7 linked regions of the Callithrix jacchus genome follow. The protein of the gene in region 5 binds, or shares a complex with, the protein of the main gene of each other region. Links are inferred from orthologs where the notes say so. Each region holds a gene or a part of one and is shown on either strand. Other genes may lie near its edges.

Evidence for each region.
Region 1: SNRPD3 (region 5) and EFTUD2 share a complex: the UniProt entries of both Homo sapiens proteins name them as parts of the minor spliceosome. The link is inferred for Callithrix jacchus from reciprocal best matches to the Homo sapiens genes SNRPD3 and EFTUD2.
Region 2: SNRPD3 (region 5) and CWC22 share a complex: the UniProt entries of both Homo sapiens proteins name them as parts of the minor spliceosome. The link is inferred for Callithrix jacchus from reciprocal best matches to the Homo sapiens genes SNRPD3 and CWC22.
Region 3: SNRPD3 (region 5) and SNRNP40 share a complex: the UniProt entries of both Homo sapiens proteins name them as parts of the U4/U6-U5 tri-snRNP complex. The link is inferred for Callithrix jacchus from reciprocal best matches to the Homo sapiens genes SNRPD3 and SNRNP40.
Region 4: SNRPD3 (region 5) and GEMIN5 share a complex: the UniProt entries of both Homo sapiens proteins name them as parts of the SMN-Sm complex. The link is inferred for Callithrix jacchus from reciprocal best matches to the Homo sapiens genes SNRPD3 and GEMIN5.
Region 6: SNRPD3 (region 5) and LSM3 share a complex: the UniProt entries of both Homo sapiens proteins name them as parts of the U4/U6-U5 tri-snRNP complex. The link is inferred for Callithrix jacchus from reciprocal best matches to the Homo sapiens genes SNRPD3 and LSM3.
Region 7: SNRPD3 (region 5) and SCNM1 share a complex: the UniProt entries of both Homo sapiens proteins name them as parts of the minor spliceosome. The link is inferred for Callithrix jacchus from reciprocal best matches to the Homo sapiens genes SNRPD3 and SCNM1.

What each region holds. Positions count from the first base shown.
Region 1 is NC_133506.1:85,262,057-85,265,224, reverse strand, and holds part of EFTUD2 (116 kDa U5 small nuclear ribonucleoprotein component), read left to right. Parts: intron 1-711; coding exon 712-798; intron 799-1,031; coding exon 1,032-1,158; intron 1,159-1,360; coding exon 1,361-1,448; intron 1,449-2,060; coding exon 2,061-2,179; intron 2,180-2,301; coding exon 2,302-2,396; intron 2,397-3,168. UniProt on the Homo sapiens protein: Required for pre-mRNA splicing as component of the spliceosome, including pre-catalytic, catalytic and post-catalytic spliceosomal complexes. Component of the U5 snRNP and the U4/U6-U5 tri-snRNP complex, a building block of the spliceosome.
Region 2 is NC_133507.1:49,008,252-49,012,966, forward strand, and holds the start of CWC22 (pre-mRNA-splicing factor CWC22 homolog), read left to right. Parts: upstream 1-1,599; 5' UTR 1,600-1,810; exon of another isoform or gene 1,811-2,617; intron 2,618-4,715. UniProt on the Homo sapiens protein: Required for pre-mRNA splicing as component of the spliceosome. As a component of the minor spliceosome, involved in the splicing of U12-type introns in pre-mRNAs. Promotes exon-junction complex (EJC) assembly.
Region 3 is NC_133508.1:67,890,859-67,893,660, reverse strand, and holds the end of SNRNP40 (U5 small nuclear ribonucleoprotein 40 kDa protein), read left to right. Parts: intron 1-293; coding exon 294-397; intron 398-1,428; coding exon 1,429-1,478; 3' UTR 1,479-1,881; downstream 1,882-2,802. UniProt on the Homo sapiens protein: Required for pre-mRNA splicing as component of the activated spliceosome. Component of the U5 small nuclear ribonucleoprotein (snRNP) complex and the U4/U6-U5 tri-snRNP complex, building blocks of the spliceosome.
Region 4 is NC_133503.1:54,144,395-54,148,495, reverse strand, and holds part of GEMIN5 (gem-associated protein 5), read left to right. Parts: intron 1-3,485; coding exon 3,486-3,637; intron 3,638-4,101. UniProt on the Homo sapiens protein: The SMN complex catalyzes the assembly of small nuclear ribonucleoproteins (snRNPs), the building blocks of the spliceosome, and thereby plays an important role in the splicing of cellular pre-mRNAs.
Region 5 is NC_133502.1:195,121,078-195,125,178, forward strand, and holds part of SNRPD3 (small nuclear ribonucleoprotein Sm D3), read left to right. Parts: intron 1-533; coding exon 534-726; intron 727-4,101. UniProt on the Homo sapiens protein: Plays a role in pre-mRNA splicing as a core component of the spliceosomal U1, U2, U4 and U5 small nuclear ribonucleoproteins (snRNPs), the building blocks of the spliceosome.
Region 6 is NC_133516.1:71,157,472-71,162,217, forward strand, and holds the start of LSM3 (U6 snRNA-associated Sm-like protein LSm3), read left to right. Parts: upstream 1-1,477; 5' UTR 1,478-1,518; coding exon 1,519-1,539; intron 1,540-4,420; coding exon 4,421-4,531; intron 4,532-4,746. Other genes in the region: XPC (DNA repair protein complementing XP-C cells), read right to left, coding at 1,125-1,227. UniProt on the Homo sapiens protein: Plays a role in pre-mRNA splicing as component of the U4/U6-U5 tri-snRNP complex that is involved in spliceosome assembly, and as component of the precatalytic spliceosome (spliceosome B complex).
Region 7 is NC_133519.1:11,058,641-11,063,427, forward strand, and holds the start of SCNM1 (sodium channel modifier 1), read left to right. Parts: upstream 1-1,602; 5' UTR 1,603-1,664; coding exon 1,665-1,715; intron 1,716-1,981; coding exon 1,982-2,052; intron 2,053-2,907; coding exon 2,908-2,996; intron 2,997-3,096; coding exon 3,097-3,194; intron 3,195-3,299; coding exon 3,300-3,388; intron 3,389-4,787. Other genes in the region: LYSMD1 (lysM and putative peptidoglycan-binding domain-containing protein 1), read right to left, coding at 611-790. UniProt on the Homo sapiens protein: As a component of the minor spliceosome, involved in the splicing of U12-type introns in pre-mRNAs. Plays a role in the regulation of primary cilia length and Hedgehog signaling.

The sequences.
Region 1 (3,168 bases), on a different chromosome or scaffold from region 5:
AGAGACGGAGTTTCACCTTGTTGACCAGGATGGTCTCGATCTCTTGACCCCGTGATCCACCTGCCTCGGCCTCCCAAAGTGATGGGATTATAGGCATGAGCCGCCGCACCCAGCCAACTTTTCTTTTTTAAAGACCAGGAGATTCAAATGAAAGAAAGAAGATAAGTGCTTGTCCTTTTTTGCTCTCCCTTGCCCTGATCCTGTGTTGTTTTTTTTTTCCCTTGAGATAGGGTCTCTCTCTCTCTCATCCAGGCTGGATTACAGTAGTGCCATCATGGCTCACTGCAGCCTCAACCTCCCCAGCTCAAGCGATCCTCCCACCTTAGCCCCCCAAGTAGCTAGGACTGCAGGTGTGCTAACCACACCTGACTAATTTTTTATAGAGCTGGGGTCTGTTGCTTTGTTGCCCAGGCTGTTCGTATTTTTGTGTTTGTTTTTAAGAGGCAGTATCTTGCTGTGTCACCCAGGCTGGAATGCAGTGGTGAGAGCCTTAAATTAAATGCTCACTGTAGCCTTAAATTCCTGAGTTTAAGTGATTCTCCCGCCTTGGCTTCTCAAAGTGCTGGGATTACAGGTCTGAGCCACCACACTTGAAACCCATGTTTTCACTGATTTTACTTCCTCAGCTGTCCATCTTGTAACCCTTTTTTTATTAATGCCTCTTCTGCTATTCTGTTAGCCCTCCTCACCACCCATTTCCATTCTGACCAGGAACAAGATCACCATGATTGCTGAGCCTCTTGAGAAGGGCCTGGCAGAGGACATAGAGAATGAGGTGGTCCAGATTACATGGAACAGGTGAGAACAGGACTCTGATGCCAGGGTCAAAAGGAAGCAGGGATGCCACAGCTTACCTGCTGGGTCTCTGAGAGCACACATCTTTCTTGGAAGCATTTATCTTTGCCTTTGCTCTTGTCCTGGGCACAGTGGGTAGAATGAGGTGACTGTCTCCTAGGAAGGGAGGGTCTGTGGCTCCAGGACCAGCAATCACAGAGCTGGCCGACAGCTCCATTGTCTCCTCCTTTCCCCAGGAAGAAGCTAGGAGAGTTCTTCCAGACCAAGTATGATTGGGATCTGCTGGCTGCCCGTTCCATCTGGGCTTTTGGCCCTGATGCCACTGGCCCCAACATTCTAGTGGATGATACTCTACCCTCCGAGGTACAGCAGAACTGATGGGAACTGGGTGGCGGTCTCTTACCTCTTGAGTGGAAGAAACTACAAAGTGTTTATTTCCAAAAAGTATTTTGTGTCCTCTTGTGAAGGACAATATCCTCTTACAGGTTTATCTATCTTCTCCTTCCTCTAAATGCTTCAGCTGTTGTCAAGGTGACTGCTAAGGAGGCCTCATGTTTCTCTGTAGGTTGACAAGGCTCTTCTTGGCTCAGTGAAGGACAGCATCGTTCAAGGTTTCCAGTGGGGAACCAGGGAGGGCCCCCTTTGTGATGAGTGTAAGTCCACCAGCACTCCCCCACCCCAGTCCTCAAGGGTCCTTCAGCCAGGCTTAAGAGTAGGATGGGCTCACCATCTTTAGGACTGGGCAGGAGAAGCAGCCTGGGCTACACAGGATTGTCCCATGTCCTGGGCCAGCTTCTTTCCTTCTCCCTCCTTATCCTGGTACAACCATGTGGTATAGCCTGGGAATTTAAGTCATTTCTAAACTGTTATTTGCTCCTCATTTCTGAGAAGCATTTCGCCCTGGACATATTTGAGGAGAAATATCAAGGAGATGATGAGATTGGAGTGGTTTATAGACCCTGATTGGGCTTTATGGGACCAAATGTACAGGGATTTATTCTACGTCCATAAAAATGTAAAATCTGCAGAAGGAAATAAACTTCCAGGAAAGCTCTGTGTTTGAGCATGGCCTGAAGCAAACCCTAAGAGCATTTGCTTAACTTCTGACCTCTTTGCCATGGGCCTTGCTTATTCAGTTAGAGCAGCTACCTCCCGTGTGTTTTCTGTACCATGTCTTTCATGACTGCAAGACAAATGCTACTCTGCCATGGCCCCATGGCGGGCCCAGAACCTCTCTCCATTTAGCTGCCCCACCTCCTTTACAGTGATTCGGAATGTCAAGTTTAAGATTCTGGATGCAGTGGTTGCCCAGGAGCCCCTGCACCGTGGCGGGGGCCAGATCATCCCCACAGCCAGGAGAGTTGTCTACTCTGCCTTCCTCATGGTAAGAGAATGAGGCTATAGGGGACGATCTGCTTCACTGGACAGGACACTAAGAGGAGGAGCAACTGGGACTGCAGGCCCCCAGCCTTCCCCAAGCTGAGGGCCCTTCTCACTCTGCTGCAGGCCACTCCTCGTCTGATGGAGCCTTACTACTTTGTAGAGGTCCAGGCGCCTGCAGATTGCGTCTCTGCTGTTTATACGGTCCTGGCCAGGCGCAGGTGAGCAGCCCCAAGTATATTAGGGAGAGTGCTGAGAGCAAGAGCAGACCACGAGGCACCTTGGCTCCTACAGGGAGAAGGGGTTGGCCTCCCCTTCCCTCTTCACTCTGGAAACCCTGCGAGCTGATTTTCCAGAAGGAAGTAGGAAAAGAGTGAGGCAAACCCCAGCTTTTCTTCAGATTAAAATTTGATGTTTCTTTTGGGAGTCCCCTCCTCAGAGAGCTCTTGGAGGAAGTCCTGAGGCAAGTCAGTGATGGGAATGTCTTTGGACTCGTGTCCCATCACTGTCCCACTCCTGTCCTCTCCGGAGGTTGCTGCCACTTTGACTTCCACAGGGAATTAGGCTGGGCGCAGTCGCTCATGCCAGTAATTCCAGCACTTTGGGAACCTGAGGTGGGTGGATCACCTGAGGTCAGGCGTTCAAGACCAGCCTGACCAACATGGAGAAACCCCATCTCTACTAAAAATAAAAAATTAGCCGGGTGTGGTGGCACATGCTTGTAATCCCAGCTACTTGGGAGGCTGAGGCAGAAGAATCGCTTGAACCCAGGAGGCAGAGGTTGTGGTGAGCCAAGATCATGCCATTGCACTCCAGCCTGGACAACAAGAGCAAAACTGCTTCTCCAAAATAAAAATAAAAAAAAAAAACAACAACTCAAGACCACAGGAAATTACACTGAGAGCCCCGAGCTTTTTCTGCTCTGTATAACATTCTTGGTTACTCTTTCTTTGATGGTAACTCTGGGCTGGGATGCATTTGGGAACAGCCAAT
Region 2 (4,715 bases), on a different chromosome or scaffold from region 5:
TAGTTCTCTGCTCAATCTTTTCTATTTCTGTTAATCGTTGTAGAGGTAGTGTATTCATCAGGGTTCCCTAGAGGGACAGAACTAATTATATATATAAAGGGGAGTTTATTAAGTATTAACTTACATGGTCACAAGGTCCCACAATAGGCTGTCTGCAAGCTTGTGAAGCTAGGAGAGCCAGTCTGAATCTCACAACTGAAGTCCAATGTTTGAGGGTAGGAAGCATCCAGCATGGGAGAAAGATGTATACTGGGAGGCTAGGCCAGTCTCGCCTAGTCTCACCTTTTCATGTTTTACTGCCTGCTTTATATTTGTTGGCAGCTGATTAGATTGTGCCCACTAGATTAAGGCTGGGTCTGTCTTTCCCAGTCCACTGACTCAAATGTTAATCTTCTCTGGCAACACACTCACAGACACACCCAGGATCAATATTTTACATCCTTCAATCCAATCAAGTTGAAATTCAGAATTAACCATCACAGGTAGTATTGTGGATTTTTAAATATATGAATACAAATGTTCATCTCCAGATCCGTCTCCTGTGCTCTGTATTGGTACACCAAAATGCGCCATGAACAATGGCCAAATATCTTAAATATGAAATAAAACAGTTAACACTATTGTATACCAGCAATTATCTTAAATGCATTATGTGAATCAACTAATTCAATTCTAAAAACTACTTAATGGGTGGGTAATATTAGTATTTCCATTTAACAAATCAGGTAATGGGCACAGAATGTGAAGTTATTTGCCCCAGTGATCCATAAATAATCAAAGAACTCATGACTCAAACATATGTGGTCCAACTGCAGTGTTTTTATTCTTAATCATCACACTCTGCCTCCAGAAAGGAGCGGAAGCACAGCACTCTAAAATTGTAATAGAGAAGTGTGTGGAAAAACCAGGCCTGGTTTATGAAAGGTTTGAAAATATAAAGATATTCTTGTTTGAGGAAGAGAGTTTCCAAAAGAGCAAGTAGTTGAAGTTTTAGGTTTTGTTACTAGCGAAAAGTGAAGTTTAAAGAAACAGTTTGTTCAATGCCCAAGTTCTGCACTCTGTACAAACTGCTTCCCACTCAGCCAGGCAGTCTCCTTACTCTCAGCTCATACCAGTTGGTACCTTAACCTAAAAGAGAGGCAACGTCTTCTCTACAGAATTAGTTTTTCCTCATTATTTACTCTATGTATGATGTAATATTCTCCCATTCTCTTGGTCTGGACGTCTTGGAATTTATTAGGCACTTAATATTTGGTAACATTTTTGCTTATTAGGCTCTTGGTCAAACTCTATTATAAAGTCTCAGGAAAATCTCTTAATATTTTCACGGAAAAGTGACAACTGACTGCTTTAAAAAAAATGTCCCCTAAATGCAGAGAAATAGTTTTAGATTAAAGTAAATTCGGCTAGACTCTAAACACTATTAGGCTGCCAGTGAGCACCTTGGATGTTACTCGTAGGCGCCCAACTGTATGAACTACAATTCCCATCTTACACCGCGCCATTCCATGCTAAACTACAATTCCGCTTTCGTCATTTCCGTCAACTTAGGCGCTGGATTTCGGACTTTGTAGGTCATGTCAACTTCTCTTTTTTGTCGCCATTTTGATAAGAAGACAGTGTGCCTGGGTCGACCACTTTGACTCTGGTATTATGATATGCTATTTGAAATAAATTAAAAGGATAACGTGTCAAGCCGATTGAGCCTCAAGTTTTTATGTATTTCACTATCCGCATTCTTCCTACTGTCGGTGGTCGGGAAAAGGAAGTGACGTACGTCCGGTGTAATGGCGGCGCGGTGGAGCTCTAGGTAATTATCTGAAGTCGGTGGAGTCCCCGCAGGCAGCGAACCGGAGAGGGGGTGGCGGGTCGCTGGATCGGGTGGGAAGTGAAAGAGGCCCAGGAGTGGGTGCGGGCTCACTGGTACAGCTGTGAGCATCATTGGAGTGCGCGTGGCTCTCTTTCCGCCGGGCACTGGCCCGCGAGGGGGGTGTGAGAGCGGCTGGGGCCGAGGAGTCCGAGCCGGTGGTGAGGGAATGGGCTGTGTTAACTCACTCACTGCCTGCGCAGACCGGCCGACCTTCCTTGTGAGGTTCTTGGAGCTATCTGAAGTCCTGCACCAATCCTGGTGCTGTTGTTTCGTGTACAGTGTGTTTTGTACTTAGAGCCTCTGGAGTCAGTTGGGCTTGGGAAAGCCCCTTTACTAGTGCCCAGATCCCCGCGCCAAGGGAGTGGGATTAATGAGCTGTAGTTGATTAAAAGTTGAAGTGCTTGCACTCTTATGTCTTTTCCGGCCTTAAATCCTTTTGACTATTTGTGTGAAATTTCATTAGTGGTTTCTTCTTCATTTATTTGTCCTGTAAATACTGATAAGTTCTAGCGTTTAGTCTCGAAGACGCTTCATTTCTCCTGTGTTCTCTTCATCTATCTGTCATACTTTATCCAGCTCTAGTGAGGTAGTAACTGCCAAACTTGGCTTTCCAGGCTCCACCTCTCTAACGAGCCTTGGGTCCTACAGTGCAGCATTATGTAATGGAAATATAATAGTTAATTTCACTGAGTTTAACTGCAGAAACCGCGGTACCTGTTTCTACTTAATCTTCACAATTCTTTTGAGGTAAGTGGAGAAGGCAGGATTTGGAGAAAGGCTATTTTAGATGCAAGAATTCGCTAAGCGTTTTTTTTGCATTTTTAAGTGTGCAGAGACTCCAAATAGATAAACAAGCAAACTTTGTCCTCAGCAGATCAGTTAACCTAACTCTTACCTGTATTTAGGATTGCTTGGAAATTCAAGTTAACATAAATTATCCTACTATGGAAGGGCAGATTGAAAATTTGCATTCAAAGTGTGGTTTTGACCAGGATAAGCATTGTAACAGGCAGTATCAGTAGGAGGAGGAAACTCACTTGTGTTGGGCCTGATAGACCAAATATTTCAATTTTATTCAGCAATTATTAGGTCTGTCACATGAAGCAAGTTATCTAAGGTCTTTAGTGTCAGCTTCATCATCTGAAAACAATCCAATGAGGCAGGTATTGTGTTATTACCTCATCTGCCTCATTGGATTGTCTTTTTTGGAGTTTAAAGAAAACTAATGCTGATGAGGCACTCAGCACAGTGCCGGATACACTGTGTTCGCTTTATATTATTGTAAATTACTACGATGATATAGTTGATGAGTTCTCTCTGTGCCTCTATTCTTGTTCTCTGGTTCTGAATGTTGCCTTTCCACCTTAAATGTCCTTCCAGTTTTAAGTGTCCATGTCACTTTTATGGAGTCTTTCCCAACTCAGTTGACTGCGGCTCTGAGACTGTCTTGGTTATAAGTTAAAGGCCAAGAACTTTGATCTAATATCCTGGTCTCGTGCTTCCAAAAATGTGTTCTGAATCAGCAGCATCATCTCCTTGAAGCTTGTTAGCAATGCAAATTACTGGGCTTCACCCCAGTTCTGTTGAATCAGAAACGTGGAAATGGAGGCCCAACGATTTTATTTTTGTTTGTTTGTTTTTCCAAAGCATTTCAGTGATTCTCATGCCAGTTAGTTTGAGAACTTGTGATTTAGCCCATCCTTTAGGGACATACTATGGTTAGTCCTTCCCCTGCCCTCAGAATCAGGTTTGATGCCCTCCTTGCTCCAAAGTATTTGATCCGTGGCCAGCTAGTATTTATTATTATGCTTTGGATAGGTTATCTTCACTCACTTTTTGAAGTTCTGACACTTCCTAGACTACTTAATTGTTTTTTGTAAGCCAGCTTTCTTAGCTCTGTTAGCTTTCCCAGCTGCTGAATTTTTAGAAGTTAACACTCCTGGTGGGGCGCGATGACTCACACCTGTATTCCCAGCACTTTGGGAGGCTGAGGAGGGTGGATCACTTGAGGTCAGAAGTTAGAGACCAGCCTGGTCAACATGGTGAAACCCCATCTCCACTAAAAATACAAAAAGTATTAGCTTGTAGCCCCAGTTACTAGGCAGGCTGAGGCACAAGAATCACTCGAACCCTGGAGGCAGAGGTTGCAGTGAGCTGACATCACTCCACTGCCCTGTAGCTTAGAGGACAAAATGAGACTTTGTCTCAAGAAAAAAAAAAGAAGTTAGCTTTCCTTCCCAGTGCTCGTACATTGTTGAGCGACCTACAGTGGCTTGTACCTGAGACCACCCAAAAGACAACACAGTGACACATTTTATATTTCATATGCCCATGCCTTAACTTGAATAATATTTTCAATTTATTGTCCACCTGTATTTAGATGGAATTTTGTACTACCTGTCATATCCCTGACTTGGTCATCATTTGTTCATGGTACCTGGAGCTAGTTCAAGAAAGTAGTGGCTATTGGTAATACATCTGATCCCACTGATAACTTTGAAGGCTTCCTTGTTGAATTTCCCTGCTTTTCTGTTTATCCGAACATGGGAAGATGGTAGAACAATTAAGCCACAGAGCATACTAGTTTTAGCAAACTCCCAGACTTATACTTTTTCTCAGTATATACATTCCCCAGTGGACATTGGAAGAGACATTTGAATGCCTATAACAAAGTGCAAACTCTAAGCATGGATTAAAGCAAGGCTTTACTATATATAGTCAAGTTAGTAAGTCTTTCCCAGAGAACAGATACCAAAATCAGGGTATGGGCTGCCTTGGCCTTGGGACATATTAACTTCTGGAGAATGGGTTAGCTGGTGGGAAGGAGGAACTCACTGGTGACTCA
Region 3 (2,802 bases), on a different chromosome or scaffold from region 5:
GTGTGATGTCTGGAGGAAAAACTATTTTCTTCCCTATGGTGTTTCCCGTTTCAGAAGCTTATACTCGAACGTGCCAGTACTACTTATATTTTTTATTTCTCCACCCCATTGCTCAAGAGCTAAGTCCATGTCTTACTCAAACTCTCTATTCCTAGTTTCTAAAAGCCAGAACATGGTTCAGTAAATGTAAGGTAAGTAAATAATAGTTGCTTTCATTTCCTTTGAATAGCCATGCCTCTGCCCTACCCGCAGTTCTAGAAGGCCTTATCCTTGCTTTTCATGATACCTTACAGGTTTGTGTATGTGTGGGATACTACAAGCAGGAGAATATTGTATAAGCTGCCTGGCCATGCTGGCTCCATCAATGAAGTCGCTTTCCACCCTGACGAGCCCATCAGTAAGTCTGTCCCGACAAGGGGGGAAAAGGAAACTGGAAACCCCCACTTAGGGATCCTGGGAATACAGAGTCAAAAGTGGGTATCTGTTTTATTTGAATTTCCATTCAAACAGCCTTTTTTTTTTTTTTTTTTTTTGAGACGGAGTCTTGCTGTGTCACCCAGGCTGGAGTGCAGTGGTGCGAGCTCTGTTCACTGCAACCTCCACCTCCCAGTTTCAAGCTATTCTCCTGTCTTAGTCTCCCAAGTAGCTGGGATTACAGGTACCCACCACCATGCCCAACTAATTTTTAGTAGAGGTGAGGTTTCACCATGTTAGGCTGGTTATGAACTCCTGACCTCAAGTAATCCACCCGCCTCAGCCTCCCAAAGTGCTGGGATTACAGGCATGAACTGCTGCACCCAGCCGCAAACAGTCTTTATATGGGTATCAGTGAGGCTCACCATTGGTCATAAGTGGTGAGGGTAAGAGCAATGTTCCATTTTCTTCTTGACCTCAAAGGGAAGTTGGTAAGTCTAGTTTTTTTAAATTTACTTCCACCAAGTCTGTTTCAATGATGTATTTGGTTAAAAGAATGATACTTCTTAATATTTAGTTATAAATTTCAGCTTAAAATTTTTTTGCTGGCTAAACCAAATAATTTAAGCCGTGAATTAAAGGACAAACTGTAACTTTCTCCAGGGCTAAATGTAACAAGCAGAAGCACATTTACAAAATGACTGGTCCAGACATAGATATTCTCTTCTTGAATGACTGGGAAAGTCTTTTTCTTGGGGATTGACTGACAGCGGACATCAGTATTTAGAGCCTGATAACGTATTTCCCACAGTACAGTCATCCTCATGATATTAGAGGACTTGGATTGAAAAGCAAGGCTACCATTTCTTGTGGATGGTGTTGAGGAGAGGAATTTAAGCTAAATCCAATTGCTCTTTTATACCAAAATTGGCTCTTGACACAAGTGCCCTTGAGTACCAAGTCTCCTTGAGCCTTCATTATTTCTAGTTATCTGCTCTGTTCTTTTTACCTCAGTTATCTCAGCATCGAGTGACAAGAGACTGTATATGGGAGAGATTCAGTGAAGATATGGAATAGAAGATTCCAAGGCTGCTTGTGTTTAAGACCTCAGACTGCATAAGTGACGTCAAATGTTGGCTGCCCGGGCTAGCACCCTCCCTTCAGATGACCATTACTAGCAAGAAACAGAGGAGGCGGTGGCCGTATTCCAAAAACCACTTCTGTCCCGTTTCACCAGGATGACTAAGGCAAGCTCCCCATGGCTTCTAAAAACCACATGCCAGATTTCAGGGACTGTTTTATTTGTTTTCTTTTTCTTGTTTTCTGTTTTCTAATGCAGGCCCAATGTGACAAATTTGTTGGTTGAAATTTTTTTTTTTTTAAGTAACTAGCTTGTATGATATTTTCTCTCTGTATTTCTCTTAAGTCATTTTGTATTAAAAGCCAAATAGATGCCTTTTTACAAGAGCCATGTGGATTGGATTTATTGCTGTCTTTTTTTTTTTTTGAGGCTTGATTGCTAAAAATCAGAGTAGAGCATGATGTGGCCACAGGTTACCATTCACTTAAAAGTCCAAGAAGCTGTTCCCTTGGGGGTTTTTTTCCACTTTTCTGTGTTTTTAGGTTTACTCATTTCCGTGACAATGACAGAATAATTATTCATCAGTAACAAATACTTTTTTCCTACTAGAAGCAGAGCAGCCAAGAGGTGATAAATAACCTGTTTTGTTTACTTATACCTGATCTTTAATGATCAGAGCCTCTGTTTACTCTGTCCCCTGCCAAAAGAACTGTTCTGAGCAGCATTCTCTAAACTCAGGCTCTTGAAAGCAGCCAAATTTGGGGCAATCTCAGCTTGTAGAAATGACATTGGTCAGAATGCTGCATTAAACTCAACTCAAATAGAATATGAGACTGCTTGGGTGCAACTTAGCCATGATATTATCTGAGACATCTTTATGATTCTGTTTACTTGTCTGGCTTAGCATAAACAGACAGGGACATTAAGAAATGCTATTGGCCAGGCACAGTGGCTCATCCCTGTAATTCCTGCATTTTGGGAGGCTGAGGCGGGCGAATCACCTGAGGTCAGGAGTTTGAGACCAGCCTGACCAACATGGAGAAACCCCATCTCTACTAAAAATACAAAATTAGTCAGGCATGGTGGCAGGCTCCTGTAATCCCAGCTACTCAGGAGGCTGAGGCAGGAGAATCACTTGAACCTGGGAGGAGGAGGTTGCAGTGAGCCAAGATCACACCATTACACTCCAGCCTGGGCAATAGTGAAAATCTCTCAAAAAAAAAGAAGAAGAAGAAATGCTATCACTTGCCTTCTACCACTAAGACAGGTTACTATCTCCCTGGATCACTGGGTGACTACACCCAGCA
Region 4 (4,101 bases), on a different chromosome or scaffold from region 5:
CGTCCTCTTTCACCTTTTTCACTTTCTGTGCTGCCTTTTGATATAACATGAACTCCCAGGTGTCAGATGACTTTGCTCAGTTTGTCTGGTTCTGAGCACTCCGTCTAGATTGGGAAAGCAGTGTGACATTGGGATCCATTTCCCCATTGATCAACAAGGTTGTTTCACAATGATCTACCAGGATGGACATCCCCCTTTCCTTCACCATTTATGTACTTCTCACTGAAAGATGTCCATTTTCTCTAATTTGAAGACTTAAGCAATTTCTCTAGAATGTTGAAGGCGAAATTCTGATTGGAGTGAATTTGAAAGACTGGGGACTAATGTAATAGAGGTATAAAAAGAAACAACCCTTTCACAAAGTTTGTTGTAAAAGTGTGCATAGACATGAAGCCAGAGGGGATAGATGAGGTCAAGGGAATATTAAATGGTAGATACCAGGGACCTGTTTTTATGCTGATGGAAGTAAGGCTTGAAAAGAGGGAGAGCTTGTTGCAGGAGTGATGGTGAAAAGTCAAGAGGGGACTGGACTCAGATGACAAGAAGAAAGAATAGCAGGGAATATAGAAATAGGTACAGGTACGTTTGTAGATGTGTTTGGAAGAACAAGGTATTCCATTCTGGGATTTCTGATTTTCTCAGTGAGCTATAAGTCAGAGTGGTAGAATCAGATTCAGCATGGGGTCGAAACTGGTTATGGGAAGAAGGTATGAAAACAGTCAAAGAGAATAGGAAAATGAATATACTAAGGGAAATTGTAGGCCCAGTGTTCACTGTTGTGCCAAACAAAGAATTGTGGCTATAAATTTTAAGTAAACCCAAACTGTTTGAGAAAGGAGATGGTTGGATTCAGCCAGGTTTGGGGCTTTGTGGAGTAAATACTCTTGAGGGAGGAGACAGGGGCTGTAATGATATTTTTTAAAGTTGATAATAAGTCCAGGTGCAGTGGCTCAAACGTGTAATCCCAACGCTTTGGGAGGCCAAGGTTGGTGGGTGACCTGAGGTTGAGAGTTCAAGACCAGCCTGACCAATGTGGAGAGACCCCATCTCTACTAAAACTACAAAATTAGCCAGGCATGATGGTGCATGCCTGTAATCCCAGCTATTTGGGAAGCTGAGGCTGGAGAATCACTTGACCCCAGGAGGCGGAGGTTGCAGTAAGCCTAGATGCGCCATTGCACTCCAGCCTAGGCGACAAGAGTGAAACTCTTATCTCAAAAAAAAAAAAAAATAGCCAGGTGTGGTGGCGCATACCTGTAATTCCAGCTACTCAGGAGGGTGAGGCAGGAGAACTGCTTGAATATGGAAGGCAGAGGTTGCAGTGGGCCGAGATTGCACCACTGCACCTCAGCCTGGGTGATAAAGCAAGACTTGTAAAAAAAAAAAAAGTTGATGATAGGGATGGATCATGAAAGCGGTGCTGCATGGGGTGAGGGGAAGTATAGAAAGACTGGTGTTGGTAAGTGATAGTGAAAATGGAAGGGGACTGGATCGGCCGTCTTGTGAAGGGGGAGCAGTATTGGCAGTAGGGGTGCTAGAGGAAATGAACAGAAAGGTAGTAGGCAGCAGTCAGGGGAGGATCTTCAGAAGAGTATTATTCCCAGAAAGTTTGATTCAAATTTCTAAATAGCTTGATCTGTTGACAATCAGATTGCATAACTTGGTGGTTTTCAAAGTCCTGGTCTTCAAAGATTGGAATACTCTAGTATTTATTTTTCTTTTTTAAAAAATAAAGCTGTACTGGCATTTTTCCCTGTCAAATGCTCTAATGTGTAGGAAGTGTGAATAGATAGAACCACTTTGTAGAATGCAGTTTTGTGGGGTTTTTTTGAGACAGTGTCTCACTCTGTCGCCAGGCTGGAGTACAGTGGCGCAATCTTGGCTCAGTGCAACCTCCATCTCCCGGGTTCAAGCAATTCTCCTGCCTCAGCCTCCCGAGTAGCTGGGACTACAGGCGAGCACTACCACGCCCGGCTAATTTTTGTATTTTTGGTAGAGACAAGGTTTCAGCATGTTGGTCAGGATGGTCTCGATCTCTTGACCTTGTGTCTGTCCACCTCGGCCTCCGAAAGTCCTGGGATTACAGGCTGGAGCCACTGCACCCGCTTGTACTTTTTATAAAGATGCATATATCTTAACATCCTGGCAGTTTCATTATGAGACATGAAACCTGAAATTGTCTTAGATGTATACATGCACATTAAAAGTATCTTTTTCTTGTAAAATAGGGAAGCCCTTCAAAGGAAAATAAATAAACTTTGGTACATTCACACAGTGAGGTACTAATACAATAGTGTAATGACTGGCCAGGAAGTAGAGTTACGTGTATCAGCATGGATGACTTACAAACAGAATGAGTGAAAAAAACAAGCTGCAGGAAAATAGGTGATAGCATATATATGAAGTTTTAAAACTTATAAACTCTGTATCTTATTTAGGAATATATACAAAGAAAGGCTAGGAATGATATAACACACAATTCACAAAAAGTGTTTGGCCTCTGGTAAAAGAAGAGAAGAAGAGATCTGGCAAGGAGAGAGGTTTGATGGAGGTGGAATGTACAGAGGACTTCAGCTCTATTGGTCATTATTTTTCTTAGGCAGGGTGGTAGATTACTTTCTTATGTGTCTGAAATAATTTATTTTCAAAAAGCTATTAGAATTTCTCAGTTTCTTCTGATTCATAAACTGACAGCCTTGGAATATGGAGGTCTAGAGTATAGAATTCTGTAACTTTTGTTAAGTTCACAGTTTAAAAAGTAGTATCACTTATAAAATAAAGATGATTTTCCAGTGGACTAGGACACGGTTATCTCAATTAGAAGAGTTGGTCAGGTGTGGTGGGTCACACCTGTAATCCCATCACTTTGGGAGGCGTGGATTGCTTGAGCCCAGGTGTTCAAGACCAGCCATGAGCAACATGGTGAAACAAGTGGATTGCCTGAGCCCAGCGTTCAAAACCAGCCATGAGCAACATAGTGAAACCCATCAGTACAAAAAAAATATAAAAGTTAGCCTGGCATGGCACATACCTATAGTCTCAGCTACTCTGGGAGGCTGAGATGGCAGGATTGCTTGGGCCAGGGAAGTCAAGGCTGTAGTAAGTGGTGATTGTGCCACTGCAGTCCAGCCTGGGCAACAGAGAGCAGAAAAAAAAAAGTTGCTGGACCCTTGCAAAAACTATAAAAGTTCCCTTAGAACAAAATCATGCTCCACTGTGAGCTTTGTACCAGGCAACATACACAGTATTACCTAATGCCAAGAGTTTGATCATAGAGAGGAAGGTTTTAACAAAACCAAGAAGCATAAGATGAGCACTTTTAAAAAAGGGAAAAACAAAATTATTTTTGGTTCTTTCCTCCTCCACCACCCCGAATGCACCTAACTTTAAGGAATGCACCAATGATAACTCTAAGCCAAAATGTTTACTAGAGACCCTGTTCTGACTTCATTTTTTGAGTAACATTTCTAATTCTTGTTTTTTAGGTACAAAGATGGCATAGTGGTTATAATTGACATCAGTAAGAAAGGAGAAGTTATTCATAGGCTTCGAGGCCATGATGATGAAATCCACTCCATAGCCTGGTGTCCCCTGCCTGGTGAAGATTGTTTATCTATAAACCAAGAGGAAACATCAGGTAGAGATGGTTTAAGTTCAGTACTCTTTAGACCTGAAGAACAGCGGGTAGAATTATATCATTTTATTTTATTTTATTTTTTGACAGGGAATTTCGCTCTCGTTGCCCATGCTGGAATGCAATGGCACGATATCGGCTTACTGCAACCTCAGCCTCCCGAGTAGCTGGGATTACAGGCATGTGCCATGATGCCTGGCTAATTTTTAGTAGAGATGGGGTTTCTCCATGTTGGTCAGGATGGTCTCAAACTCCCGACCTCAAGTGATCCACCCACCTTGGCCTCCCAAAGTGCTGGGATTACAGGCATGAGCCACTGCACCTGGCCAAATTATATCACTTTAATTATACCTAAAACTTCAGATTTTATAGTTAAGACCTATGAAAGAGATAGCTAAGTTTTGGGAACTCTTGCAAATTAAATTTTTTTATAAGTGCATGTTTAATGCAAATCAAAAACAAAATTG
Region 5 (4,101 bases):
GTTCTGTCTCACCTTCTAGAGTATGCACTCTGGAGGGTCAGAACTGCATCTGGTATACACTCGTGACCTTTGTGGTGCCTTTGAAATCTGACTGCCAGGCAATGCAGGGGAAGACACGGTTTGGACCAGCAGTTTGAAGCTGTTTTAGTCAGGTCTAGCACCTTCAAGAGCTCTTCACGTTTGCTCAGCAGGCAGTACAGCACAGCTAGGGCTTTGAAGCTAGACCAGCTGGTTCAAATCTGGAGTTCCCTGCATTCCAGCTGTTTGACCTTGGATAACTGCTTTGGTTTTTTTTTTAACCCATAAAAATGGGAACACTCATACCCACGCTGGAGGTGTTGTGAGGACTATTCAGGTAAAGTGCTCAGTGCAGTCCCTGATATACACAGTTAGTACTGACCATTGCTGAGTAATTCACCAGCTTTGTCACAATGTCAATCTGCTTTTCAGGACTTAACCCTCCCAACAGTCAAGGCCCTCCCCACCACTGGTGCTGTTGACTGTTAGCTGATTAGCTGGTGATTTCCTTCCAGATGTCCAACATCACAGTCACATACAGAGATGGCCGAGTGGCACAGCTGGAGCAGGTATACATCCGTGGCAGCAAAATTCGCTTTCTGATTTTGCCTGACATGCTGAAGAATGCACCCATGTTAAAGAGCATGAAAAATAAAAACCAAGGCTCAGGGGCTGGCCGAGGAAAAGCTGCTATTCTCAAGGCCCAAGGTAGGTGCTCTTCATGCACAGGTTTTAAAATACAGGTTTGTCTTGTGTCTTATAGAAAGGGGCCTTGTTAACTGCCTGGGGATGAAGTGGGCTTGACCCCTGCTCTCTCCACACCCACTGCCACCCCTTCCCCTTGCAACATGGAGAGATCCTGTGAGGCCATGAGGCCTTGCCTGGCCTTCTCTGTCTTGCTGCATTGGATCCCAGTAACAGGGCTTACATAAAATCCAAAGAAAAAGAATTCATTATAGGAGATTTATCAACTCTTTCACTGAAGATAGGAATGCTGTCTTAATAATTGTCTTAAGAAGACAGTATTCCTGTGTTCAATGAAAGAGTTGATAAATCTATAATAAATTTCTAGGGGGCCCTTTTTTTTATTGTAATTTTTTATATTTTTTTGAGACAGAGTCTTGCTTTGTTACCCAAGCTGGAGTGCAGTAGCTTGATCTCTGCCCATTGCAACCTCTGCCTCCCGGGTTCAAGCAATTCTGCCTCAGCCTTCCAAGTAGCTAAGATTATAGGCATGCACTCCCATGCCCAGCTAATTTTTTATTTTTTATTTTATTTATTTATTTTTTTTGAGACGGAGTTTCGCTCTTTGTTACCCAGGCTGGAGTGCAATAGCGCGATCTTGGCTCACTGCAGTCTCCGCCTCCTGGGTTCAAGCAATTCTCCTGCCTCAGCCTCCCAAGCAGCTGGGACCACAGGCACACGCCACCATGCCCAGCTAATTTTTTTTTTTTTTTTTTTTTTTTTTTTTTTTTTGTATTTTTAGTAGAGACGGGGTTTCACCACATTGACCAGGATGGTCTCGATCTCTTGGCCTTGTGATCCACCACGCCTGGCATTTTTTATTTTTAATTTAATTTTGTTTGTGTGTGTATTTTTAGTAGAGATGAGGTTTCACCGTGTTGGTCGGGCTGGCCTTGAACTCCTGACCTCAAATGATCCACCTGCCTTGGCTTCCCAAAGTGCTGGGATTACCAGCGTGAGCCACCGTGCCTGGAGAGGCCCTTCTTTTTTACAAGTTCTGTGCAAGAGTCTGGGATGGCTTGCCCTTGTCTATCTTGCTGAGCAGTCACAGCACAGAGCAGATGAGCTGACTCATGACGCGTGAGGGCAGCATTTTCTAGGGAGACTGGGTAATGTGGATAGACACTGAGCATGTACTTAGGGAGATCTGACAGTGGACTTCCATTTTCAGAAATAAAGCCTTCCTTTAGTACATTCCAAAAGTAGGACGGTCCTTTTCCCAGTTTCCTAGTCTGGCCTTGCTTCTTGGTTAGCTTAATTTGGTTTTATATTTAGGTTCCTGAGAAGTTCTGCCATGTGGATCAGGTAACAAAGTATTTGCAGCCCTTAGAAACTGTCTTAGTGTTGGTTGAAAAAAAAATAGTTTGCAGGCAGGGAAGGCACTGGATTCTCCATTGGTATCTTTAGCTGCTATACATGTTTTATATAGGAAAAAAAGTCAAACTGTTTTTCCTCTGCTCTTACAACACAGCAAGCAACAAAGAAGACTTGTGTGACCAAGCAAGCAGTCAGTTCTGCAGTAGACACGAGCTGGGTGTTTTTCAGATCTGACATTATCTGTCTAGAGATAGCCTGAGAAGCCACTGGTTGAGGGCCTGGTCCCATAAGACTGCCCCTCCATTCCCCACTATCCCTAAGTACGGTCCTCCAGAACATCTGAATGGCTTCAAATCAGGGTTCTCACATCTCCCTCCTTAGGTTCAGTGAATTTGCTGGAGTAGGAATCACATACTTAAGTTTACTGATTTACAACAAAGGATTTTTTCTTTTGAGACGGCGGAGGTGTTTTTTGCTCTTGTTGCCCAGGCTGGAGTGCTATGGCGCAATTTCGGTTCATTGCAACCTCCGTCTCCTGGGTTCCAGTGATTTTTCTGCCTCAACCTCCGAGTAGCTGGGATTATAGGAATGCGCCACCACGCCCGGCTATTTTTTTTTTATAGTATTCTTAGAGGCGGTTTCTCCATGTTGGTCAGGCTGGTTTCGAACTCCTGGCCTCAGGTGAGCCACCACGCCTGGCCACAAAGGATATTTTATAGGCTGCAAATAAACAGCCACATGAAGAGATGCATGCATAGGGTGAAATCTGGAAGGGTCCCAAGCACGAGAGCTCTGTCCGCATGGAGTTTCCTCCTGGCACTTGGATGAGTTCTTGTTCACCTTCCTGTCGGGCTCCACGTGGTCAGCTGTCCCAAAGCTCCCCTAAGCCTGTCCTCTTGGGTCTTTTTATAGAGACTTCATTGGATAGACATGATTGAAGGATGGACAACCATGTGGAAATGCAATTAGACAAGAGGGTGTGATCTAATACTAATAGACAGGATGAGGAAACCCTACAAGGCCTGTCCAGATTCTTTTTTGGCCTCTCTGCAGCATTTCTTCCTCCAGGGCATAGGACATGACCTTTCTCTGGAGTGAGGTCTTGTGACCCACAATCAGATTAGGGTCCTGCCTTGGGCGGGTGGAAGGAGGGCAGGAGAAGTTTCAAGAGAGATTCTGTTTCCTGAGTCCTGCTTCTGAGGCCTAAAGTGCCCCAATGTTATAACAAAATACTATAACAAGGTCTACAGGAATTATGAGCCAAGAACCATGGATGAAAGCTCAAGTTTAAAGATGTAATAATAGTGTGTAATCCTTTGAAATGCCCTCCCCCCCAAAAAAACTAATCAGAGTATCTCCTTGCCCTTCCCAGGCAAGAGGCAGCTGTGAGAAGATAGAACCAAAAGCTCTGTACCTTTTGTCCTGGTGAAGGAAGAGTTTTCAGAAATTCTGGCTTTATGGCTAGAACTATTGCTCTTTCTGCTTCCTCAGGGAAGGGCCACCCTCATTGTCACCATCTTCTCTAGCAAAAGATACACCTTGTGGGTGTGCACTGCAAGGCCCTTGGCAGTGAGTGTGCCCAGGCCCACTGACTTCTGCCTGAGCCATCTGTGCCTCCCAGCCCTTTGCTGTGGTCCTGTCAGCTGGTGGGTGAGCTCTCTTCTCTTGCTCTTTGGGACAACTCCAAGGTCTGTATGAGCAGAGAGATGAGGCTCCATTTAGTAGCCATCAGAATATTTCATCTGTCCTTCAAAGCCTGTCCTATGCTGGAACCCCTGGGTTACAGAGGAGAAACAGCAGTTTTATCATACTGTTTATATGAAGAGTGTTTTGTTTTTGCTACTATCAAATAATTTTTTTTTTTTTTTGAGACAGAGTCTTCATCGCTCAGGCTAGAGTGTGGTGGCTCGATCTCAGCTCATTGCAACCTCCGCCACCTCCCAAGTTCAAGTGGTTTCTCTTTCCTTGGCCTCCCGGTAGCTGGGATTACAGGCACACACCACCATGTGCAGCTAATTTTTG
Region 6 (4,746 bases), on a different chromosome or scaffold from region 5:
AAAGTATCTGGGAAGAACCACCTTAGGATGTTCGAGGAGTGTCTGACATGAGATTTGAAGAAATCTAAGAAATTAGCCCTGACAAAAGCCATGGGTGGGAGGAGGGGTCACTCTAGGCAGAAGGAACATCAAAGGAAAAGACTCAAGAAATAACTTGGCATATTTGAGGAAGAGAAAGGAGGCCAATAAGGTGGGTATCTGGCAAGGAAACAAGTGGTAGGAGAAACAGGAGAGGTAGCAAGAGCCAAAACATGTAGCATCTTGCAGGCCAGGTTAAGCCAACTGGATTTTAAGCTAAGAGCAATGGGAAGCCAAGGAGAGTTTAAAATAGGAACACGGCATGATTAAAAAAAGAAAAAAAAGATTATTTGGGTTGCTGGATGGAGAACTGGGAGGCCAATAAAGAGGAAACTGCAGTCACTCAACTGAAAGGTGATGGTGGCTTGGACAGGGGCCATGGCCATGGAAATGAAGTGGACAAATTTAAGATACAGTCCGAGGCTGAACTGACTGGATTTGCTGATGGACTGATGTGTGCACATAAGAAAAAGGCAGGCTTTGCTTTATAACAAGTACTGAGACTGGAAAAACGGAGGAAAGGATAGATTTAAAGGGGAAAACCATGAGCTCCGCTTTGCCTGTGACAAACATAAGAAGCCTATCCGATATTCACGTGGGGAAGTCAGGTGGGATCCCACTGTGGAACTCCGGGTGAGACTCCGCTTAAGTGACCATTCGGGAGTCACCACACTGCATCACTCTACGTCCTGGTCCGTCTGTCTGCCTTCCTGGGACCCAAATAACTGCCTTCTCCACTTTCAGCCCTGAGCATCTGCGCTGTATCCTCTGGGCAACCCGGAGCGGAAAAACGCTACGCATGAGCTTGGGTCGGGCGAGGCTCCCGAGGAATCGCTCTGCGTGCGGAGGACAAAGGGACAGGGACAGAGCGGAGGGCCGGACGCGGCCTGCCGAGCTGCTCCCGCGGCCGCCGTCACGTCCCCGCGGCGTGGAAGACGCGCAGTAAACTGCATCCTGTCTCCACGTCTGGCCTCCCACCCCAGCCTCCCGGCCTCCTCCGCCCTGCTGCGGCGTCTCCCGCTAAGCCCGCTGGGCCTCGCTCTCACCCTCCTCCTCCTCCTCACGCCGGGCCTTGCTCTTGCCCTTGGACTTCTGGCTGCGCGGTTGGCGTCCCCGCGGCTCCCCGCCGGCCGCGCGCTTCCGAGCCATGTTGTTCTTCGGGGCAAAATCCACTTCGTGAGTGACGCACCTGGCCGCTGTGCACCAGAGCGCGGGCTCCGCCCACAGGCGGGCGCGTCTAGCCCTGTCCCTTAGTTGGAGGCCTAGCCACGCCCCCGAAGGAAGCTCCGGCGATACCCGTGGCCACCAAAAACCACAGGAAGCAGGAAGGAGAAAAACAGATTTCTCTCTACTTCCGGTGTATTATATCCTCCTGTTTCCGGAGATCCGCGTTGCTCTTGTGTTCTCGCGAGAAGCGGGAAAGAGCGCAGGGTTTGAAACATGGCGGACGACGTAGACCAGGTGAGTGTACTTTAAGGGGGTCGCTTCGAGCAGCTTCGCGTACTAGGGCTGGTTTTCCCAAACTTAGGAAAAATGGCCAGTCGTGTCTCCTCCTTCCAGGTCACCATGGTCCAATCCGCCCCGTCCTTTCCGTAACCGCCCCCTGCTCCGAATTTTGCTGCAGGCCCTGAGATCTTTTCCGGTTAGAAGCCCACCTGACTACTATTCATCACACTCTTCAATTCATTTTTTTAAATCTGTAAATTATTATCCTTGCCTGCCTCACGGAGCTGTTAGGATTCCAATAGAAAGCCTGATGATGAAGTTAGAAGTTCATATCATTACTGAGCGCAACCATTATTTATTCATTTAGCATATTTAGTGAAATTCAGCTTTGTATGGTTAGACACTATTCTAAGGGCCAGGGACACTGACATCGACATAGAAGTGATCCCTGCCATTACTTGGAGCTTATATTCGTGAGGAGAACAGATAAAAGTAAATATAAATATGTAGGAGACATAGGAACTGTGATGTGATGTGAAGGAAACAAGGAACTAGTTTGCAGAATAACAGATGGCCCTAGAAGCTTTTTCACCTTGTCTTTCTCTTCCTCAAATATCTTTGGAGATCAAGCCACAAATTCTTAAGCTTTCTACTGAAATCTCACCTCCTCAGAGAGGACTTCTCCTGCGCCAGTAGCACACGCTTTACTCTTCTTACCCTGCTTCATTTTTCTTCAGAGCGCATTATTATTTCGTATTAAATATATGCATCTGTTTTTAATGTATAACCCTTCCCACTAGAATTTAAGTGCCATAAGAGCAGGTTTTTTGTTTTGTTCTTTCTTCTGTCCTTAGGGTTTAGAACAGTGCTGGAAACACTCAACAAATATTTACTTAATGAGGCCTCTTTGAAAAGTCAATATTTAAAGCTACAGTGGGCATCGTAGACAGAGGCTTAGGTAGCAGTAGGGTTCTGTCGTGTGCATATTTTGACAGTATTTAATTATTTATTTGTATGCCTCTCCACATTACAATGAGCTCCTTGAGAGTGGAGATTGTGACTTCTATATCGTTATAATCTAACAGTTGGTTATCTGATCCTTTAACAAACACCTGTTGAACTAGGGAAGTAGGGATCAGTCGAGTCAGGGTTTTGTTTTTTCTCTCATCTGACCTTTTGAAGCTTTAGAGCCTGTTGCATTCAGTCACCTTCCTCCACTGGCCTCATGTACTTAATGAAGATCTACTTGAATAGTCTTTCTCTTAATGGCTGCAACCATTCGACCCCAAGTCATCCTAGCCCTGACCTCTAAAACCGACGTTTCCAGCAGTTCTTTAATAATACTAATAGGAACCATTTCTTTTCTTTTTCCTTTTTTTTTTTTTTGGACAGAATCTCACTCTGTCATCCAGGCTGGAGTGCAGTGGCACAATAGATCTCAGCTCACAGCAACTTCCACCTCCTCAAGCGATTCTCCTATCTCAGCCTCCCGAGTAGTTGGGACTACAGGCGCGTGCCACCATGCCTGGCTAATTTTTCTGGTTTTTTTTTTTTTTTTTTTTTTTTTTTGAGACGGAGTTTCGCTCTTGTTACCCAGGCTGGAGTGCAATGGCGCGATCTCAGCTCACCGCAACCTCCGCCTCCTGGGATCAGGCAATTCTCCTGCCTCAGCCTCCCGAGTAGCTGGGAATACAGGCACGCGCCACCATGCCTGTAAGTTTTTGTATTTTTAGTAGAGACGGGGTTTCACCATGTTGACCAGAATGGTCTCAATCTCTTGACCTCGTGATCCACCCGCCTCGGCCTCCCAAAGTGCTGGGATTACAGGCGTGAGCCACCGCTCCCGGCCAATTTTTCTGTTTTTAGTAGAGATGGGGTTTCGCCATGTTGGCCAGGCTGGTCTCAACTCCTGACCTCAGGTGATCCGCCTGTCTCAGCCTCCCAAAGTACTGGGATTCAGGCGTGAGCCACCATGCCCAGCCAGTAGGAACCGTTTATTACTATTTTCTGTTTACCTGGCACTGTTGTAAATACATTAACTACTTTAAACTTCTCAAGAACCCAGAAGGAAGGTTGTGGCCTCCTCAATTACAAATGAAGAATCAGAATTACAGATGGCATGATTTTTAATCTTAGTTCATTAGAGTCAGGTCACAGCCAGGAGTTGAACCCAGACTGCCTGACTCCAAAACCAGTGCTTTCTTTTTTCAAGACAGAGTCTCACTCTGTTGCCAAAGCTGGAGTGCAGTAGCACGATCTTGGCTCACTGCAACCTCCGACTCCTAGGCTCAAGCCATCCTCCCCCCTCAGCCTCTGAATAGCTGGGACCACAGGCATGTGCCACTGTGCCTGGCTAAGCCAGTGCTTTCAACCAGCGTTTTATACTGTCTACTAAATATATTCATCTTACTGGCCAGTTGGCAGCCTAAACTCAACCTGTGCTAAATTCATAATCTTCCCATTAACCTACACCTCTACTTAGCATTCTGACTAGTGTATGGTAGACATTGAGTGAGTGTTTTTCCAACGATTACATAATATTTGAGATAAAGCTAAAGTCCCTGAGAGCCCATACCCTGAAATTGGGTCAGGCAGTTTGATTTTGAGGGAACAAAGAATAGTCATGATTATTTTGCTGTGTAACTCCTTTTTGTGTATGTGTGTTTTAACCTACATTTATGTAGCACATATTATATGAAAGGCACTGTTCTAAGCCGTCATAGATATCACTTAAGCCTCACAACAACAGTATTAGGTAGACACTGTTATCTCCATTTTATAGCTTAGGAGACTGAAGCAGAGAAAGGTTAACTTGCTCGTGGTCACACAGCTTAACAGTGATTTAAGCAGGTCTCTATCTCTAGTACTGCCTTCCTTAACTTGTTTGTTTTATCAGCAACAAACTACCAACACTGTAGAGGAGCCCCTGGATCTTATCCGGCTCAGCCTAGATGAGCGAATTTATGTGAAAATGAGAAATGACCGAGAGCTTCGAGGCAGATTACACGTAAGTACATTTATCAAGTTACCTTGAAATCAGATTCCTTCCAACCCCTACTCCCTTGAAATGTAAAACCTGTACAGAGTGAAAAAGTATTTTGAGGGAAGAGAGGGAAGTGGAAAGTCACCCATATTTCTATAAGCCAAATAAAGCTGCATGTATTCACATTTTTAACAATTTTTATTTTAATAGAAATGTGTTTATTATAGAACATTTTTATT
Region 7 (4,787 bases), on a different chromosome or scaffold from region 5:
ACTAAAAATACAAAAATTAGCCAGGTGTGGCAGCAGGCACCTGTAATGTAATCCCAGCTTCTCGGGAGGCTGAGGCTGAGAATTATTGAACCTGGGAGGCAGAGATTGCAGTGAGCCAAGATCCGCCATTGCACTCCAGCCTGGACAACAGAGCGAAACTCCGCCTCAAAAAAAAAAAAGAAATGAAAAGAAAATGTTTCTGTGTGGTTAATAGCGTCAGATAGACCTGTTTGAATCCCAAATCTGACACTCATTATTTGACCTTAGTCAAACTGGTTAACCAATCCAAGTCTCAGTTTCTTCATCTGCCAAAAGGAAACAATAAATGTACTTGATAGGGTGTGAGGGTGACATGAGCTAATGTATGTGAAGCCCCCAGCACAGTGTCTGGCATAGTAAAATTGGAGCTGTTCCTCTCCATTGGAATAGTAGGACAGGACTTGTCCCAACCCGGCAGTGCAACACTGTGATGGGAAAACAAAGATAAAGGCAGAACAGGTGTAACACTTTAGGAACTTTTCAGAGGAGTTTACCTAGAAAGGCCACTACATTCTTCTCAGGACTAAATCCCTCCTGACTGTTGTCTGCACCCCAATCCTGGAAAACTCACCGTCACCCCATATTTGAGTGCTAGTCCAGCCAGGGTGTCTCCAGGCTCCAAGTGATGCTCCAGGCGTCTCTCCCTCACTGGGGAGCAGGCCGATTGCACGAGGCTTCCATATGAACGAGCCCGGCTCCCTTGAAGAAGTCCTGACCCCCCTGGGGGGGGCTGTCTAGACGGGGAAGCCATCTCTTCACCCTAACGACAGGTAGGGTTGCAACTGGGGAAGGCCCGGCCGAGACTAAGGGTGACAGGCCTTAAGTCTGGGAATGGATATTCAAGGGATTCCTTTCCCCTTCTCTCTTCCCCTGTGTCCCCGCCTCCCCGGCACTACGCCACCTGCCCCCTCCCGGTTTCTCCTCTCTCCAAGCTTGTTATCCACAAATCTGTCCCTTGAGTATTCAGTCCCTCCCTGAATCTCTCCCCTAAGCACCCCACCGACTGTGAACCCCCCACAACTCCTCGCTACATTGACCTCTGACCTTTGACCTCTAGAAATAATCCTCAACAGTCTTTCCTCAGTTTGCCCCCAAGTCCGGTAGCCTGGCCTCTGGGGGCTCTCGCATCCCGGGTCTGCCCGGTCCCGGGGTTCGTCCGCTAGGGTCAGAAACAAATCAGCCCACCCCAGGTGAACTGTCGCCGCAGATGAAGAGCGCGAAGATTGCGAGAGTCTGTAGTACACCTTCCACTCATCAGAGAGGTCACACCCTCACATTTCGGCTCCACATCTAGCTTCTTGTCCCTCCAAATGCCGCAGATCCGCCAGGATGCGAGGGCCTGGATCCAGCAGAGCGGCAAGCTCTTTGAGAAAAGACTTCATTTCCCAAAAGGCTCGGCGTCTGCAGTGTCGCAGGGCACCATAGGAAATGCAGTTCCCTCCGTGCACCAGCGAGTAGATTTCCGGACGCGCAAAGCCTGTGTGGAAGCGCATCCCCGGAAGTACGGAGGCCGACAGGAAGAGACTGAAAACAGAGAAAGAGTTGTCCCACTCTTGCTACGGTGGCCTGGAGGAGTTGAGAAACCGGAACAAGAGAATTTATCATTTCTGGGACTCACAGTCGTGATGTCTTTCAAGAGGGAAGGAGACGATTGGAGTCAACTCAATGTTCTCAAAGTAAGCGTGAGCAGAGAGGATCCAGGGCAGCTTCAGTCGCTCTCTGAAGGTTGGGAAGGAGCTTTGTTTTGTTGCACTGGCAACAGCTCGGGGGTGCGGGAGAGAAAGAGGCGACTTAGAGCTGGGTAGTGACACCTTTTTCGGTCTATGATCACTATTCTCCCCAGGGTCCTTATTCCATTTGACTCCTCATTTCTCTCATTTCACTTCCATCCGTTTCTCCTATCTGCTGATGCCGTCCGGATTTTTTCCCCTTCTCCCTGCAGAAAAGAAGAGTCGGGGATCTGCTAGCCAGTTACATCCCAGAGGATGAGGCGCTGATGCTTCGGGATGGACGGTAAGAGCGAGGAGTGGCCCAAGCCTGAGGGTTCTATGGTTAGAGGCTCAACAAACAAAAGATAGAGGTCTCTCTGTGTTGCCCAGGCTGTCCTCAAACTCTAGGGCTCAAGTGATCTTGCTTCCTCAGCGTCGCGAGTAGCTGGGATTACAGGCGGGCGCGACCATGCCCGGCTTCAACAAACTTTATTGATTGATTGATTGATTGATTGAGACGGAGTTTCGCTGTTGTTACCCAGACTGGAGTGCAATGGCACGAACTCGGCTCACCGCAACCTCCGCCTTCTGGGTTCAAGCAATTCTCCTGCCTCAGCCTCCCGAGTAGCTGGGACTACAGGCACGCACCATCATGCCCAGCTAATTTTTTTTTTCTTTTGAGACGGAGTTTCGCTCTTGTTACCCAGGCTGGAGTGCAATGGCGCAATCTCGGCTCACCGCAACCTCCGCCTCCTGGGTTCAGCCAATTCTCCTGCCTCAGCCTCCTGAGTAGCTGGGATTACAGGCACGTGCCACCATGCCCAGCTAATTTTTTTGTATTTTTAGTAGAGACGGGGTTTCACCATGTTGACCAGGATGGTCTCGAACTCTTGACCTCGTGATCCACCCGCCTCGGCCTCCCAAAGGGCTGGGATTATAAGCATGAGCCACGGCGCCCGGCCCCAAACTTTTGTTATTAATCAGGACAGCAGGAGTATCTAGGATTCCTTGGCCGGAAGTGAGGATCGGAAGAAGTGGGGATTGGATGACCTGGAGTTGGGCTTTGGAAAGGACTGCTAGGACAGGGTGGGACTTACTGTAGGGACTGGCCCCACCCTCTTCCCCTGGACCAATTATCCTCTTCTCTCCCCCTGCTCAGTTTTGCTTGTGCCATCTGCCCCCATCGACCAGTACTGGACACCCTGGCTATGCTGACTGCCCACCGAGCAGGCAAGAAACATCTATCCAGTAAGTTTGGGGAAAGACAGGGTATGGGGAATAAACCCTCGAAATTTCTGCACACCGCTCTTGGTGCTATGCTTTTAGTCTTGTTTCCCTTTCTCCTCAGGCTTGCAGCTTTTCTATGGCAAGAAGCAGCCAGGAAAGGAGAGGAAGCAGAATCCAAGACATCAGAATGAATTGAGAAGGGAAGAAACCAAAGCTGAGGTAATCAGAATGGAGAGTGTATTCTAGTCAAGACCCTGCTGCACACACCAGGCTGGAAGGGAAGAGGGCTGAAGCCTCTGACTCTGTCTCCCATCTCCTTATCAGGCTCCTCTGCTAACCCAGACACGACTTATCACCCAGAGTGCTCTGCACAGAGCCCCCGACTATAACAGTTGCTGCCGCCGGAAGTACAGGTATGGGAGGGGAAAGCCAGAGGTCGGAAGGCTCAGAAGGAGAAAGATGGCTCTAAAAGTTCTCCAATGTGAGGCCAGGCGCGTGGCTCAAGCCTGTAATCCCAGCACTTTGGGAGGCCGAGGCGGGTGGATCATGAGGTCAAGAGATCGAGACCATCATGGTCAACATGGTGAAACCCGGTCTCTACTAAAAATACAAAAAGTTAGCTGGGCATGGTGGCGTGTGCCTGTAATCCCAGCTACTCAGGAGGCTGAGGCAGGAGAATTGCCTGAACCCAGGAGGCGGAGGTTGCGGTGAGCCGAGATCGCGCCATTGCACTCCAGCCTGGGTAACAAGAGCTAAACTCCGTCTCAAAAAAAAAAGTTCTCCAATGTGTATTCTAAGGAACACTGGTATTCCGGAGATGTTACTTAGTGTTTCAAGAAAAGGAGAATTTTGGCCAGGCACAGTGGCTCATGCCTGTTATCCCAGCACTTTGGGAGGCCGAGGCAGGTGGATCACTTGAGGTCAGGAGTTCAAGACCAGACTGGCCAACATGGTGAAACCCCATCTCTACCAAAAATATAAAAAATTAGCTGGGTGTGTGACGTGTGCCTGTAATCCCCAGCTACTCGGGAGGCTGAGACAGGAGAATCGCTTGAACCTGGGAGGCAGAGGTTGCAGTGAGCCGAGATCATGCCACTTCACTCCAGCCTGGGTGACAGAGTGAGACTCCGTCTTAAAAAAAAAAATGGTGGGGGCTGGGTGTGGTGGCTCTTGCCTGTAATCCCAGCACTTTGGGAGGCTGAGGCGGGTAGATCACAAGGTCAGGAGATCGAGACCATCCTGGCTAACATGATGAAACCCTGTCTCTACTAAAAATACAGAAAATTAGCCAGGCATGGTGGTGGGCACCTGTAGTCCCAACTACTCAGGAGGGTGAGACAGGAGAATTGCCTGAACCTGTCGGGAGGGTGAGAGAGGAGAATTGCTTGAACCCAGGAGTTGGAGGTTGCAGTGAGCTGAGATCATGCCACTGCACTCCAGCCTGCGTGACAGAGTAACACTCGAAAGAAAAAAAAGAGAGAGAGAGAGAGAGAGAGAGGAGAAGAGAAGAGAGAAAGAAAGAAAGAAAGAAAGAAAGAAAGAAAGAAAGAAAGGGGGAGAGGGAGGGAGGATGTGTTTTTGTTTTTTTTTTTGAGATGGAGTCTCACTCTGGAGTGCAGTGGCATAGTCTTGGCTCACTGCAACCTCCATCACCTGGATTCAAGTGATTCTCCTGCCTCAGCCTCTGGAGTAGCTGGAATTACAGGTGCTTGCCACCATGCCCGGCTAATTTTCTGTATTTTTAGTAGAGATAAGGTTTCACCATCTTGACCAGGATGGTCTCAATCTCTTGACCTTGTGATCTGCCCACCT